Lepisosteus oculatus: one gene and its partner. The protein of the gene in region 1 purifies or fractionates together with the protein of each later gene. This does not show direct contact. Links are inferred from orthologs where the notes say so. Each region holds a gene or a part of one and is shown on either strand. Other genes may lie near its edges.

Region 1 (7,237 bases):
TGCGGAGTCTGCTGTCTTCGAAGAGCTCTCTCTGACCTTAACCATGAAATTCATGTTCCCTCTTGTTCTCTGGCATTCAATTCTTTACGATAAATATGACTTTGCATGTGCAATGCATTATGATTACAGTACAGAAGTGAGACATTATCCAATCCATAACCCATTCTGCTAGATTATGTTTCTGATTCTATGTCAGGAGAAATATGAATAAATATGGAGGGCACTGTAGTTAAAATCAAAAATATGTTAGAATTGTGTCCAGGGTAGAAATCGAAGGCCTTGCTTTTATTGGTATTCCTGCAGCTGATTTGCACAGAACTGCAATAACCAAGAAACTAGAGGTGAGAGAAGAAGAAATTATTTCTGAAAGAAAATATTTCAGAATTGGAAGTAGATAACCATGCCACTTTTCTTAAAATCTTGACCTCCAAACATAGATGCCAAAAATATAAATGAATATTCATGTCTAAGGTGAAAACCTCAAAACAGATAACGCCAATTACCAATTCTAATTTCCTCAATACAAAACGGTTGATATATTCCATTTTGCTACACAGGAAATATAGATTTTCACAAGTATATGAATCTGCAGTTGATACAAGTTGCTTTGGATCATTTTCACTAGATTTAAAATGATTTTAAAATAGGAAAATGTTATAGATTTATTTTAGTGTACCTAATCTCAGACATATGACAATAACCTTCATAATTGTAACGTACTATGTAGTATTTTTCAAGAAATCAATGAAGGTCTTAGCATGATGGAAATGTAAACAACTCCTGAATTCTACAAAGGCCAATCAAATCATTTTAACTTTGTACTGCCTGATACAAAGTTCAATCCCTGTACCATACTCCATGAGTGATATGTATACAACACTCGTCAGTACTAAACTGGTACAAGTATACAAACTTTGAAGCTTGAACCCCTAAAAGAATAATTGTAATGACACCACTTTCAATGTCAACATAACCAGCAAGAAGATTTAGACTAATTACATTTAAATCAAGTAAAAGTATCCTTGCAAACTCTTAAAGAGTAGAAATCAGTAATCTACAAGTAGAACAGAAAACTTTAACATAAGTCACATCTTATTTCCAGCAACACACAGTGCTACTCCTGAAAATATTATATGACCAGTATACCATACACTAGGCCCTACTGAGGCCATTGATTACAAGGTAAAATGGGTAATGTGGGAGACCAGACTGAGAAAAAGGTTGTCAATTCCTGGAAACTAAAGAGCAACCAGCATGACAGGTCCTAATAAAAGTTCTTTGACATTATCCAGCATGACAGAAACATTTGGTGTGATTCAAAAAGAGTTCACAAAACTGTAGACATGTGCAAGATCATCCATATTGAACTACAGCAACAAAGGACAATAGCAACTGGTCCTTACAGTGAAGCAAAACCACTTTGCAACATCAACAAAGATCTTCTGGGCCCTAGACAGCAACTAGGTGCTTATTTCAAATAAATTATGGTCTACACTACTATAGACTCTGTACACGATTCTCTTGGATTATGAAGCGACTAAACTGCTTTGTTCTCGGCAATGAAAAAGCAGAATATAGAATACTTGTAAGGTCACTTATGATGCGCACAATCATTTTCAATCTCTACAAGACTTTTTTATGGTGGAAACAGCATTGAGCATAGAAAGAACTGATCATCACAGGTATCCACACTTAGCATGATGGCCCTACCATCATGATGAGCACTGATGACAGGTACCACACTGAGCATGATGGTACCAGAGTACCAGAGCAGTGAGATCTGTCAGACATGCTCGTACTGGACAGATGACCCCATACTTTAAGATTCCGTAGCAAATGGTAGAGCAGATTTTGCCTCCGGGGTTAATAATGCAAGTTCGGCTTTAAACAGTCTAGGTGGGGAGCTGCGTCAGCATGCGTAGGCTGCAAAGGAACAAGTAATAAGTTTATTCCATGCTGAAAAGAGAAGAAAGAAAACAACGTTTCAGCTGTTTTTGTATTTCTTCTCTTTTCAGCATGGAATAAACCTACTACTACTAAACAGTTTAGCTTAGTAACTGGCTTAACTCGACCAATTTAACAGCTTCCCCAGCTTTTCGGGTGCAGCTGTTTTCAAGGGACCTTGCAGACCTAACAGACACCAGACCCTTGCAGGACCAGGATTAGACATCCTTGCTAAAGCTGCTCCAACCCACAGTATATGTCCAGGACGCCTTTGGAAACACGCGTTATAACTCAGGGATGCCATTCCCGAACCACACCATACAGCCTGTAAAGCGGTGAGAAATCGTGCAACAAACTTATCAACTACCTCATTTGTTTCCGACAGGAGCTTAGAAGAAGGAACGAAATACGGAGCACTTCCATATTTCTACTGCCCAGGAAAGCGTCGACCCCTTTTTATCCACATGCACAGGTCTTTAGGACTCAGAATTATAGTTTATTGTGTTCAACTGCCAATTGCAATTCCTTATTCCTGACCTCTAAGCTGCAGATCAGTGAGGTTTGTAATGTGAATGACTTAAACCTTGTGAAACAGCTCAGGAATGCATCCCGAAGGCTTCTCGGAGCATGCAGCCACAGGTTATTAAATAAACCATGCATGTTTTTACCCACCTGTCGAAACTCTGTTGCACGACCGCAGAATTCTGGTCTGCCATGTCGGTATCAATTTTTAAAAACCACTCTTCCTCTACAACACCTAATACTGAATAGAGGCCCGTAATGTCTCTATCACAAAAAAAACGGGGCCTTTGCCAGCGCAAGGCTTAAATCAAGCACACGGACGCGATCAAAACTCCAACGCTAAAAAAAATCTTCAGTTGCAAAAAATAACGACTACTAAAAAAAGGACCATCTATCATCCCAAAGAACTAATTCCCACATCCAGATTGTGGCCCTGCCGAATGATACTTTGTTTTGTTATGAATGTAATCACGTCGTTGTAACTGCTTGACTCCATTGACTGCCAACCTCTGTGACGTAACAAGGGGACGACAGCGATGCGCACTGCGTCACCAATAATAACAAGCTGCCGGAGCAACCTCCGGAAAATGGCACACTCGCTGGGAGCTTGGGATATGTAGTCCGATTTCCTATCGTTTTACATCGTGTTAATTTACACAAATTTATGCTCTATCTCGTGTCTGCCCGGAGGCTCGACGCCTGCTTGGGATGACAAGAAGCATGAAGATACACATATGGCTTCAGAATACGTCTTATTTTGGTAGGGCACTGCCTTCTTTTTATAGATGATAACAATTGTCATAACAATCACCTTGTCGTTGCTTGTCGATAACTTAATTACTTGATTTCTTGTGTGCAGTTTGCGGGGATTTCAGTGCAACGTATGTATTAATATAGAAATTTGTTCACTTAAAAAAATCATGCTATTTTTCCCGGTCATCGGAGTGTCCCGTGACTCTTCCAGTCTCACTGAAAACACAGTCACGTATTTCTACTGCGCATCTCTTCCTTTTGCAGCTATCAAGTAATTGCTATGTTCTATTTCGTCTAATAACATTCACGAACACAAAAACCTAACGAATAAATCGGGTGTGTCGTTACTGCATGTCAAATGATTTTAAAAAACGTTAACATCAATTGGTTTTATCTCTGAGTCTCGGGGACGTTTTTGAATTACAGTAAGAGGTTTGCAGACCGAACCCCTCAGCCTTAGCCTATATACACTTAAGATACTTTAAATACACTCTTGACGTAACTTAAAACTTGTAAAAGCTGGACAACATAAATCCAAGTAGGGACAATAGTAATACTAGAACCGTGATAATCAAGCTCACTTTCTCGCTCATACAACTTAACAAGTCGTAGATACTACCGCAGCGCAACAGAGGACTACAAATCCCTACAATCTCTTCAGTCTCACCCATGCGCCGCCGAGTCAATCAGCTGTTAGAGCTACTGCTGACTCTACCTCGGCAGCAGCTCATTTGTCATTTCCAAGCCCAGCCGAGGCTAACAGAAATAGCCCTATTTACAGAACCCCAAAAGGTGAACGAAAAAGGTAAAGCCTCGTTTCTTGAAAACTGTAGAAGTACCACGCAGTGCATGACAGTCAACGATGTTTTTTAAAGCAAAAAAACATCAGTTGAATGCCGGATTTAAAAAAAAACTGAAAATGAAGATATATCTACGTGTTCTGTATACGTATAGATTGTGTATTGTATTTCTAATAATGTCTGTGTGCGGCTTCTTACAAAGAGTGTACTTATTGTAAATAAGTTTGTATAAAGATCCCATTGCTGTTTTACTTTCAAAACGTTTGGTGACCTTGGTTTGGCTGCTGTAGCGACAGGAAAAACAAGGATTAGCTATGGAGAAGCGAGCTGTACGATGTTTACCAGTTTGTATATGAAATTGTTTAATGTTTTCTGTGAAATGCAACCGACGAAAATCGATAACATAACGCATTTTTACATAATTATAACGTAATTTTTTTTCCGGCTCAGTATTTATTTTACTAGTTTATAAACCACTAGAGAACTCAATACAACACAATTCATACTGTTCACGAGCGATTTTATTGCTTGTTAAGCACGGTGTCATTTATTTTTATAATGAATATTTTCATAACCTTCGGGATTACATTTTAAATATGCAAAGTAGATAAGAATTTCCGTCTAGTTTGACGTCTGGGTTAACCATTTGCTGCAGTTGCTCGAGAGATCAGTGAGGTCTAATTTTAATCGCAGCGATTTGCCTTGCCTTTCTTAGAAAATACCCCCAACGACTTGAAGATCATCTCTAACTAAAACAATATATTGAATTATTTTTCTGTCATTTAATTTGCAACAACGTCAATAAAAAACCCTTACAAATATAGTACAAGTGACTTTAGTTTAGGGGAATGTTTACTTGCTTTCGATATATGTGCCAAATAGTGCAATCTAATAATAGTCTTAATAATGTGGGAATGTGAGCTATAGCTCATGTTCCCCTTCATATTTAGGAAGGGGTTAAATTGCGGGTGTCACTAAAGTATCTACGTTAATTAGATCTTGAAAATTCATGGCTTCGGAACTCATGTTTTACCAGGAAAGATAATGAAATGGGAGTAACCATTGTTTTTTTTAAAAAAAACAAATAATTTATTGGGATTTCAAGAGAAGAAAACTTGGGGAAATTAAATCGAATTGCTAATATTTTTAAATGCAACTCCCTGAATCCCATCCCCACCCCTTTCATTGAGGAGGAATACAAGGATAAGAGCTGGGATACGAAATAACCATTCTCCTTAGGCCTGATTATGTAAGCATTTCTAATCAGTATTTTTGCATAGGGTAAATATTTCATCCGAGATCTAAACAAGCTCTGTGCTCTTCTTGACAAAACCACGTCATTCAAATGTGCCTATTGTGGAGCCATCTCATTTTTTTATTTAACAAAGAATAACGATTATCTCATTCTCGCCACATTCTCGATCTTTTCTTTTTAGTTTCATTCCCTCAGCACTACGTTGGTATGACCAAGCTATTTTCCTGCAATGTTTTTGGTGTCAGGCAACTGTTTGATTTGACCTAACAGTTTTGTTTTCAATTAAAAAAAGCGCAAGGTTGAATTATTTTCGTTATTGAGATATCCGTCACCTGTCCCTTTAAATACCCTGATTGTGAAATGGGGGGTGGTGTATCTCTTTAACCTTGCTGAAGGACGCAGCTGTATTTATTGACGTATGCAAATGAATTTAGGGGTGGTCCTAGAAAAAAACAGGAACAAGAATCAGTTTCACATTGCAGTCTGGAGTTCCGGTGAAAAGGGAAAAAGAGACGTGGCGAAAATTGGTGAATATCTGTGTCCTCCAAGCATATCTTCCCATTCACTGCTGAGGGGAACGGAGGCGTCTGAAAGGGTGAAGCCGATAAGTCTTTCATGCGAGAGAATACAGTTAGCGCGATCATACCGGCAGTTCGTAGTTTCTGCTAAATGGGTGATTCCGGATTTGCCTTGCAGTCGGCTTGTCCCAGCATTACTGGTAGCAATAATAACAACTACCCCCTCCCCGGGTTCTTGCTGGCCAAATACCATAGGAGCCTGGCGACTGTGGCTCATGAGAACCTCCGTAATAACTCGTCTTTGTTTTTCCCTGTTACAGCTCAGCAAACCATGCAGGATGATTTACTGATGGACAAAAGCAAAGCCCAGCCTCAACAGCAGCAGCAGGATCCAGCAAGCGTAGAGCCTCCTTCCACCACCCCGACCCCCTCCTCGGAACCCCCCAAATCGGAGGAGAGCCCGACGACTGTCATCAGCCAGGCAGCGACCCCCCAGAGCAGCAAAGAGAAAGTGCCGATGGAGTCGCCGATCCTGCCGGGGTTGAGTTTTCACCAGCCACAGGAGCCCGGCGGCACCTCCGTGTCCCCTTCCTTCGGCAGCACTTGGTCTACCGGGACCACGAACGCCGTGGACGATAGCTTTTTCCAAGGGATACCCCCGGTGAATGGGACAATGCTTTTCCAGAATTTCCCCCACCACGTTAACCCGGTATTCGGGGGCACATTCTCACCCCAGATCGGCTTGGCACAGAATCAGCATCAACAACAGCAGCAGCAGCAGCAGCAACAACAACAGCAGCAGCAGCAGCAGCAGCAGAGGAGGTCACCCGTAAGTCCCAACCAAGCCCCGTTCCCCCAGAGAAATGCTTACAGCCACCAGACCCTTATGAACAGCAAGGCTCCTTCATCCTCCGCCTCCTCGTCCGCTTGGAATAATCACCAGAATCCCTCTTGGAGCACAGCCTCCAACCCCTGGAGCGGGCTCCAGGCAGGCAGGGACCCGCGGAGAGCAGTGGGCGTTGGGGTTGGGGTGGGGGTCGGCGTCGGGGTGCCGTCTCCCCTTAACCCCATCTCCCCGCTGAAAAAACCTTACTCTAGCAATGTCATTGCCCCGCCGAAGTTCCCCAGAGCTGCCCCTCTGACCCCCAAATCCTGGATGGACGACAGCGCCTTCAGAACAGACAACAGCAACAATATGCTGCCTTTTCAGGTAAACCCATCGCTGAAACGTAGCGTTGTCTGTTTTCTTGCCATGTAGTCCTAACGCAAATACAGTATATATTTTGCCCTCTAGAACACTGACATTTCAGTCATTTCAAATACGTATTCTCACAGTGCCCGTTATAAATTTATCATATAATAGGTGAATAAATAGCTCTTTAAATTTTAATCGTGGATTAATATTGCAGCAGCATTCATATGCCGGTTTGGAAATGCCACTGTAC
Region 2 (7,746 bases), on another chromosome or scaffold:
CCGGGCGACTGGCCCTCGCCGTGCTCAGGCCAGGTGAGGGAAGAACACGAAACGACGAAAGACGAATGGGGGGCCGAGCAGTCTGGGGCGGCGGGGGAGAGGACTTCTCCGGAAGAGCCGGAGAAGGCAGAGAGAGTGGTTACCCTACCTGGTGAAGCGTCTGCGCGCGCACTGCAGCGTGATCTGGACCGGGACTCCGCAGGACCCCCTGCGCGACGCCGGCTGGAGAGACATGTCCGCTCCCGGCTGGGACATGGCAACGCGGACCCCGGCCCTGCCGCGGCGGAGCACACACACACACGCTACCGCCCGGATGAAGTGCGTCGCAGAGGCGTGGAGCCTCTGACGGGAGGATTGCAGGTGCGGCTCGCACCCTGTCCCTCACCTGGGCCTGGCTGCCGCGGCAACCGCCCGGGTTCCTATAGGAACGCCAACAGACGAGCCAGCTAACGATGCCCCGTGGGCTGTTACAGGCCCGGAGGGAGACTCCTTTCCTCAAGACGTGCGTGTCCTGTGCTCCATGTTTACGAGGGATTAGCTCCTGCTGCGTGCGAGGAGGAGAAGGGAACGAGAGGGACCACTGCACTGCCCCCCCACCGGGGGGACGCTGTTCAAAAACACAGCACACGGGCAGAGGACGGGCTCCTCCGGTCTGCGCCTTGGACAGAGCCGGCGACCAGGCGACCAGGCACAAGCCTTCAACAAGCTCAACCCCGCAAACGTCTCCGATGAGCAGAGCGACATGAACCGGAAGACTCTGGTGGAAACTACTCGAAGGTGTACTTCAAGCTGAGAGGCAGAGGTGTGGGAGTGTGGAACAAGCTGCTCGGCCATGTTGTTCAAGACGGTACCCTGGCCTCTTCCAAGAAACAGCTGGATGAGATCCTCCGATCACCAACATACTGACTACCAAACGGTTAGATGGGCCGAAAGCCTTTGTCCCGTTTCCTATGTTCAGAACAGAAGGTTAATTAATCTCCACAATAGGTGATGCAGCTACCAGACGAATCGGGCATAATGTGTGCAAAAGGTTACAACTCCCTCAGATATTCCGGCTCAGACTGAAATTTCAGATTCTGCAGCAAAAGCAAACTGCATACCAACAGTAAAATACTCGAGTGGAAGAGACGTAATTTTGTTTCCATTTTTGTCCTGAAATCTTTGCTTTGCCCGACAGTTAGAGAGGGTTTATGGGTTAAAACAGCAACAGGGTCTAATGTACCTATTAACTCAGATCCCAGGCAATAACGCTCTTTCTATCCTGTCCTTTCACTTCATACCCAACCACGAACTTCATTCCTGCTTTCAGCAACCGCCTAACGATCTGTTTGTCACGCTGAGGTTCTTCATGTCAAGGTGTTGAAGCTGGTCAAGACACATCACCACCTTCCCCTGGCGCTCAAATCTCTCTTAACTGCTCGCAGAGAGCGCAGGAGAGGCAAAACCAGCGAACGTACTGTAACTGTCGAGGGTTTTTAGTTCACCGGCACACGCGAAGCGCAACGCAACGTCTTCCGCAGCAGTTGAAAGAGAACTGATGCATGCATACAGATTTTAAGATCCTTCCAGCTGCCTACAGTTAGTGCCTTCGTTCTTGTCACTGCGTGCTTCATGATAAGACAAAGCAAACAACATAACTGTGACATTTCTCGGACATGGACGGAACTGGGCGCAGCACTATCTTTCCAGCCCTGTCAGCAACCGGCACACTTACATGGGCAGTGTCATCGGCGCTGCTGTGGAGGACTTCAGCCCAGGCGATCTCTCTCGGTTTTTTCAAGGTTCCAGCGAACTTAGTCCTGTTTCTCCCATTTCCCGGGCTTCGATCTCCCAAACCGCCAGGGCTTCAGCAGACTGGAGTTTCAAATCCAACTTTCACCCTGACAATATCCCTCTGTTTAATAATGCATGAAATGTGTTTGTGCAGGTGCTGCTCGCAGGGGGAAAAAAGATATCAAAATAACAGAAGGGCACGCAGACCTTTGCTGTACATGCAGATTTTACGAAGATATATCAGTTTTTGCTGCCGTAGGCAGGAGTGATGTAAAAGCTGTGTGCTGCAGAATCGGACTGCTGTGTGTCCCCAGATGGGTATCACCGCCTGCACATGTATAAAGATGGAAAAAGCCAACTGGGTTATTGAAGAAGCATTAACATGTCCCTAATATTTTAAAGTGTAAAACTTGATCTATAATCTGTAGCTTCCAACATCTCTTGTGAAGGCGCTAACAGGCAGGCTCTGATTAAAAAAAAAACATCGATTCGCATCTGTCCCAAGGCCGCCGAGAACAAAAGGCAGTGACTTTCTTCCTCGTTCTTTTACAGATGTGTTATTTCGGGGAAATAACAGGCCTAATAAAGTGATGTTATGTTAATAAAGTGGTGTCATCCACCTGAGAAGACTTGAAAAGACATAGAGGAAACATCAATTTTTTCCCCCGGCAAACTCATCCTCTCCGTTTTCATCTGCCAGATGTGGGACAGCTGATATCGTTTGAACTGCAACATGCGATTGAGTGAAACATTCCCAAGCACCTGGCGAGCCCGTGCCCTGGACCTCGGGACTGTAGAGCAAAGAACCGGTTCGTATCCGGCCCTGCTGGGCGCTGTGGCCAGACTCCTCTAAAGAGCGGAGCTGGGGAAGGGACCCGCGACACATCTTCCATTGCAGGGCCTGCAGTGATCGGTACACACGGAGAACAGCCGAGGTTTGGCTCCGAGTACCGCTCTTCGTAGCAGAGTCCGTTTTAAGCGACTCACAGCTGTAAAAAAGGTGCATGCCTGCAGGACGGTTTTCTCCGGACAGTGCCTTATCGTTCCGCTTGAGGCCACACGGGCACCTTTTCAAACAGGGAAACACGATTGTGAAGAACGTCACGAAGAAGGAGTGATGAACTGTGAATAACTTCTCCCTTCATTTTCTCAAGATGCTTGCTGTTCCCGCCTGACAGCGATCTGTGACATGGGCGCTCTTGCTCAGAACCAGACGGACCAGGGCAGGAGTACACCCTCCTGGACTGAGCCCAGTCCGCTACAGCGCTCACGCAGGGACCATTTAGGGACAGCGCTGTACCGCACCAGTGTCTTTGAAAGAAAGAGAGGAGAAGACCCAAACGAACAGGGAAAGAACATGCAAACTCTGCACAGAAGACCGGATTCACACAGAGGACCCAAGGGCTGAGGGCAGCGCCGCCCCGGCCAGTGAGACACCGTTCTGTGGGTTGTATTAATGTAATATGACTTTAACCTGTGTTTACGTTGTAATATCAGAGTCTAGCGCGGATGGGCAGTTCAAGGATCGGTGAGCAAATACTACGATTTTCTTGTTAACTGCAATATCACTCTGAAAAAGCGCTCTGTGGCGATACGGGCCCACCCGTGCAACTCACTTTATTGGTTGAAAACCGATTCCGGTCTTTGAAAGATTGTTTTTAAAGCTGCGAATGGTGGTTCACAATATTTTTGGCTCACTAACCCCTCTTGTCGAGGTGAATTTCGGCGCCCAAGGTCAGGGTAATGACATTTAAACGTAAGCATCTCGTTGCACTTGTGCATATGACAAATAAACTGAACTGAGCTGAACACTGCAGCGCTTCACAGCGCCGGCGGGGTCGCTAGAAGAAGCAGTGACACGCTGCGCCCGCCAGGGGGGGGGCATGCCTCTGGTGCTTTGAGCTCTTGTCCCTCCCGCCCCGGACGGTTTACGCCTTGCGCTCTTGTTTCCCTCCCGGACGGTTAACGCGGTGCGCCCGTGAGCTCGACCCCGCAGTCACGCCTCCCCGGCCGGGCCGAGTTCTGACCGAGCAGCGGAGCGGAGCGACCTGTCCGGCTCGACAACACCGCACTGGCCGCGGAGTATGAGCAGCCGCAGCTGCCTGTGAGGAGGCCCGGAGATCAGGATAGACGAAGGGAGGCGGAATCTCAGCTCTGTCAGGTATAGCAGGAGCTATGTTGCGGTTTTCTGCAGTTCCGAACAGTGATGAGAATGTGAGGAGACACTGCGCACAGATACGGTGGCAGTTTCATGGCGAGGAGGGTGTTTAGGTGCATAAAACTGGCTGGCTGTCACCATTTGAAGATCCTGTAGCCCGGTTTAGTTTTTTTATTGCTTCCAGGCAGTTTTGTTAACAGGAATACGGTTTCGTTTCGTTTCGTTTCGGGCGTGCGGTCTTGTTTCAGTTTTAAATCTTCAACTGGGTAGTTTTAAAGTTCCAGTACTGATAATACCGGAGCGGTTCCAAGGTAAGAAATCTAAACAAAACACAGGCCTCTGTGTCTTTCTTGTTAATCTCCTGTTTATGAAGCTTGTGTCTGACCAAGGCGTCCGGCCCCAGTCGAGACAGGGAGAGAATTCAGGAAAGGGGAATAAATTAGTCTGGGATACTTGCCGGGTCATTAATTAGCGCTACATGAAGGAATGAGGGATATTCTGAAAAATTAAGCCTTGCTTTGCACAGCCAGGTTTTCCCGCGAGTTGTCTATTTTTCCCCAAGTCTGCATAATCATTCGGTTCTGAAATTCTTTAACTATCGGGATAAAGATATCATTGGGTCTGAACCGAGCAATGTCTGCAACTTTTCCAGTGTGACGTAGGACAGGTGAAGCGCTGTCGTCACGTACATCGCCTACCTCATACTAGAAGACTTGTGTGATAGCACCAGTTTCAACACTTCAAACTGACGCTTTTTTGCCTTTAAGTGTCTGATAACCACAAGCTATGCTTTAAAAATAGCTGTATAATATATATTCTTTAAATGTTATTCATGATGACTTTTAAAGACCCAGAGACCATGATTGCTACAGTATTAAAAATAAGCAAGGTAATTTTTTTCATTTTTTTCTTACTACGTGCTAGGGACATCTAAAACTGGCCATTGAAAACGCTCCTTTTCTGTTTTATAATATCTGCTTTGTGATTTTCCTGCTTGTGAAGTGTAAACAGAAACAAGGTACTAAAATAGATGGGGATTAGCCAGCTGTTCCCTTTGCAGTGCAGACGTCACTCGGTCAGGTCAGGGGTGCTATTTCTGTGCTCGTCTGGTACTGGGGAAGGATGCACAGTATTATTGAACCCCAAGATTATCAACTTTATTTGCTTTAGTATTCTAACCTTCTGTAAGTTTGAGAGACAGACTTGGAAAGAGATACTACACAGAAGCGAAACTAAAACCTTTTCCCCCGCAGTCTGCTCAAGTGGTGTGTGAGATGGGTGGGGCTGTAAAGAGTGTGTTTCCCAGTGCTCTTCTGTGTTTACACACTCTCACAGGGTGTGTGTGTGTGTGTGTGTGTGTGTGTGTGTGTGACCTTACTTATGCATCCTAGGAGATAAGCCAGTGTCACGAGGTCACCCACAAACCAGAGCTTAACATTACCTGTCCAGATCTCTGTATGGCACAGAATTCTCTAGTTTTCTCATGGGTCTGTTCCTGCTGTAGCAGTGCAGTCATGTTTCTTGCACAATTAATGTACAATTATGAGCAATTCTCTGACTCTTTGTGCTTGTGGAGTCCCAAATCATTCCGACCAAATAGCAATAGTTAATGGCCTCTTACAATTTTTTTAAAGTGAGAAACATGATCCAATCTATAAGCTTGTTGCAGACTCTCTCACCCCTTTGGGTAAATAAGGACCTCCTGTTCTCAGTTTTAGACGCACTATGGTGCGTCGTCCACCTGTGTTCTCTGATTTGTGTTTCCATGGTTATCCTGAAAGAAATCCACAGGCTTGACTCAGTAAGTGATTTTAAATACTTGAATCAGGTCGCTTGATAGTCTTCTCTGTTCAAGATCAAAAAGGTTCAGTTCCTGTCGGTGTGGGATACTCCCTTCAGACCAAAGAGACTCAGTTCCTCCAGCCTGTCAGTGCAGGACACTCCCTTCAGACTAAAGAGACTCAGTTCCTCCAGCCTGTTAGTGTGGGACACTCCCTTCCAACTAGAGAGACTTAGTCTGTTTGCCTGTTATTGTGGGACACAGCTGTGATGTCCACAGTCCCTCACGTAGTGTCGAACTGGCTGCTTTTCAGGACAGCAGCATGGAGCAAGGAGACCAGTCCCCCCTGAAGCACTTTGTGCTGGCGAAGAGGAAGATCAGCTCCATCTTCCAGCAGCTGCTGGATTATGTCAACGAAGGAGCGGCATTCCTGGAAGGTAAGGGAAGAGGACCGCAGGAGTCGGGATCTTGGCCGTGCTGCAGGTGCTGGAGTTTGCGTCCATCCCGGCGCTAAACCAATCGCTGGGCGCGCGAGTGCGCCGCCACAGCAGGGCCGTCCTCGTTGGCTACAAACCTTAGAGCTGGGCGGGGAGGCGGGAGGAGAGACGTGAGACGTGCCTGAAGCTTTTCGGTCTGCTCCTGCCAGAAACCTGCCGGACCGAGGAGCTGGAGCAGATCGCCACGGCGGAGCAGCGGGCGCGGATCCAGGCGGACACTGAGAAGATCGCCGTGATCAGCGAGGTCCTGGCCCGGAGGCACATGAAGGTGGCCTTCTTCGGCAGGTACAGGCGCCGCGCCGCTGTTCCTCCGCGTGCCCCCCCCCCCCCCCCCCGAGTGCGGAGGCCGCCGGCGCCCGCCGGCGCCCGCCTGACCCCCCGCGGCTTCGTTTCCTTTCCCAGAACCAGCAACGGGAAGAGCACGGTGATCAACGCCATGCTGCGCGACCGCGTGCTGCCCAGCGGCATCGGCCACACCACCAACTGCTTCCTCAGCGTGGAGGGCACAGACGGGGACAAGGCCTACCTCAAGACCGAGGGCTCGGAGGAGGAGCAGAGCGTCAAGGTGCGGCAGCCCGAGTGTCCGGGAGCTGGCGCTGAGGGCGTTCCCAGCCCTGCTGCCCCTGTACCCTCGGAAAAGCACGTCGGTGTCAGCCGGGGCCTTGTGGGAGCCTGCGAGGTTTTGAAAGGCGGCGCTGTCCTGCGCACAGTGGTACCGGGTTCCCCCCTCCCCCCCAGCTGCCACACGGCAGAAGTCAGGGGTCACTCCGGGGCCCCCTCAGGGGAACTGGGCACGGGCGTCGTGGTGCGCTGCTCCGCAAGAGTTGAGAAGCTCGGAAAAGGCCCTGCCTGGCTTAAGAGCTTGAGGAGGGTTGATATTATTCTGGCAAGCGGTGCAAGCAGTGTGATTCCGCCCGGCACTCCGGTGCAGTCCTGGGAGGTGGGAGAGGTGCTTTGAGCCCGAAGGGGGATATAAATTTGGGATCAGAGGCTGTCCTGTCGGGGCAGGGTACGTCACCACCTGATGTTGGTTGGCTTCATCTGGCACAGTTGATGCCTGGAGTGACTTTATTTTGTACTGAAATCACGATGGATGTAACCGAGGCCTGTCTGTGTTCTGCTCAGTCCTGTGAGTGCTTTATATGAACTTAAGTAACAGGATTTAAAAAAAAAAGTGTTCAGCATCCCTTTGTCTGCCCCCCGCTCCCCGCTCCCTCCCTGTCGCCAGCAGACCGTGAACCAGCTCGCCCACGCCCTGCACATGGACAAGAGCCTGGACTGCGGCTGCCTGGTGAAGGTCTTCTGGCCCAAGGCGAAGTGTGCCCTTCTGAGGGACGACCTGGTGCTGGTGGACAGGTATAGTGCCCGGTCCGAGGCCAGGGCCACTCGCGTCAGGCAAGACTCCCCCTTCCCCTCTCGAGTCTGTTTGCTGAGTGCCTGAACTTGACCACATGTGCCGAGAGCAGAATGAGCCCAGGCCTCTCCTGGCCTGTCATTCCTGTTCAGCTGGTGTGCTAAGAAGAACAAGCAAGGGTGCT

The links.
Region 2: the proteins of marchf5 (region 1) and mfn1b purify together in Homo sapiens (affinity purification with western blotting; 4 studies listed by BioGRID, with this or other methods). This does not show direct contact. The link is inferred for Lepisosteus oculatus from reciprocal best matches to the Homo sapiens genes MARCHF5 and MFN1.

The regions. Positions count from the first base shown.
Region 1 is NC_090699.1:23,826,697-23,833,933, forward strand, and holds the start of marchf5 (E3 ubiquitin-protein ligase MARCHF5), read right to left. Parts: upstream 3,002-7,237; 5' UTR 2,661-3,001; coding exon 2,617-2,660; intron 1-2,616. Other genes in the region: cpeb3 (cytoplasmic polyadenylation element-binding protein 3), read left to right, coding at 3,889-4,024, 6,113-7,002. UniProt on the Homo sapiens protein: Mitochondrial E3 ubiquitin-protein ligase that plays a crucial role in the control of mitochondrial morphology by acting as a positive regulator of mitochondrial fission and as an important regulator of immune response.
Region 2 is NC_090708.1:1,648,610-1,656,355, forward strand, and holds the start of mfn1b (mitofusin-1b), read left to right. Parts: upstream 1-4,730; 5' UTR 4,731-4,754; coding exon 4,755-4,820; intron 4,821-6,024; coding exon 6,025-6,148; intron 6,149-6,357; coding exon 6,358-6,493; intron 6,494-6,610; coding exon 6,611-6,773; intron 6,774-7,439; coding exon 7,440-7,564; intron 7,565-7,746. Other genes in the region: calcium-activated potassium channel subunit beta-3, read right to left, coding at 149-255. UniProt on the Homo sapiens protein: Mitochondrial outer membrane GTPase that mediates mitochondrial clustering and fusion. Membrane clustering requires GTPase activity. It may involve a major rearrangement of the coiled coil domains.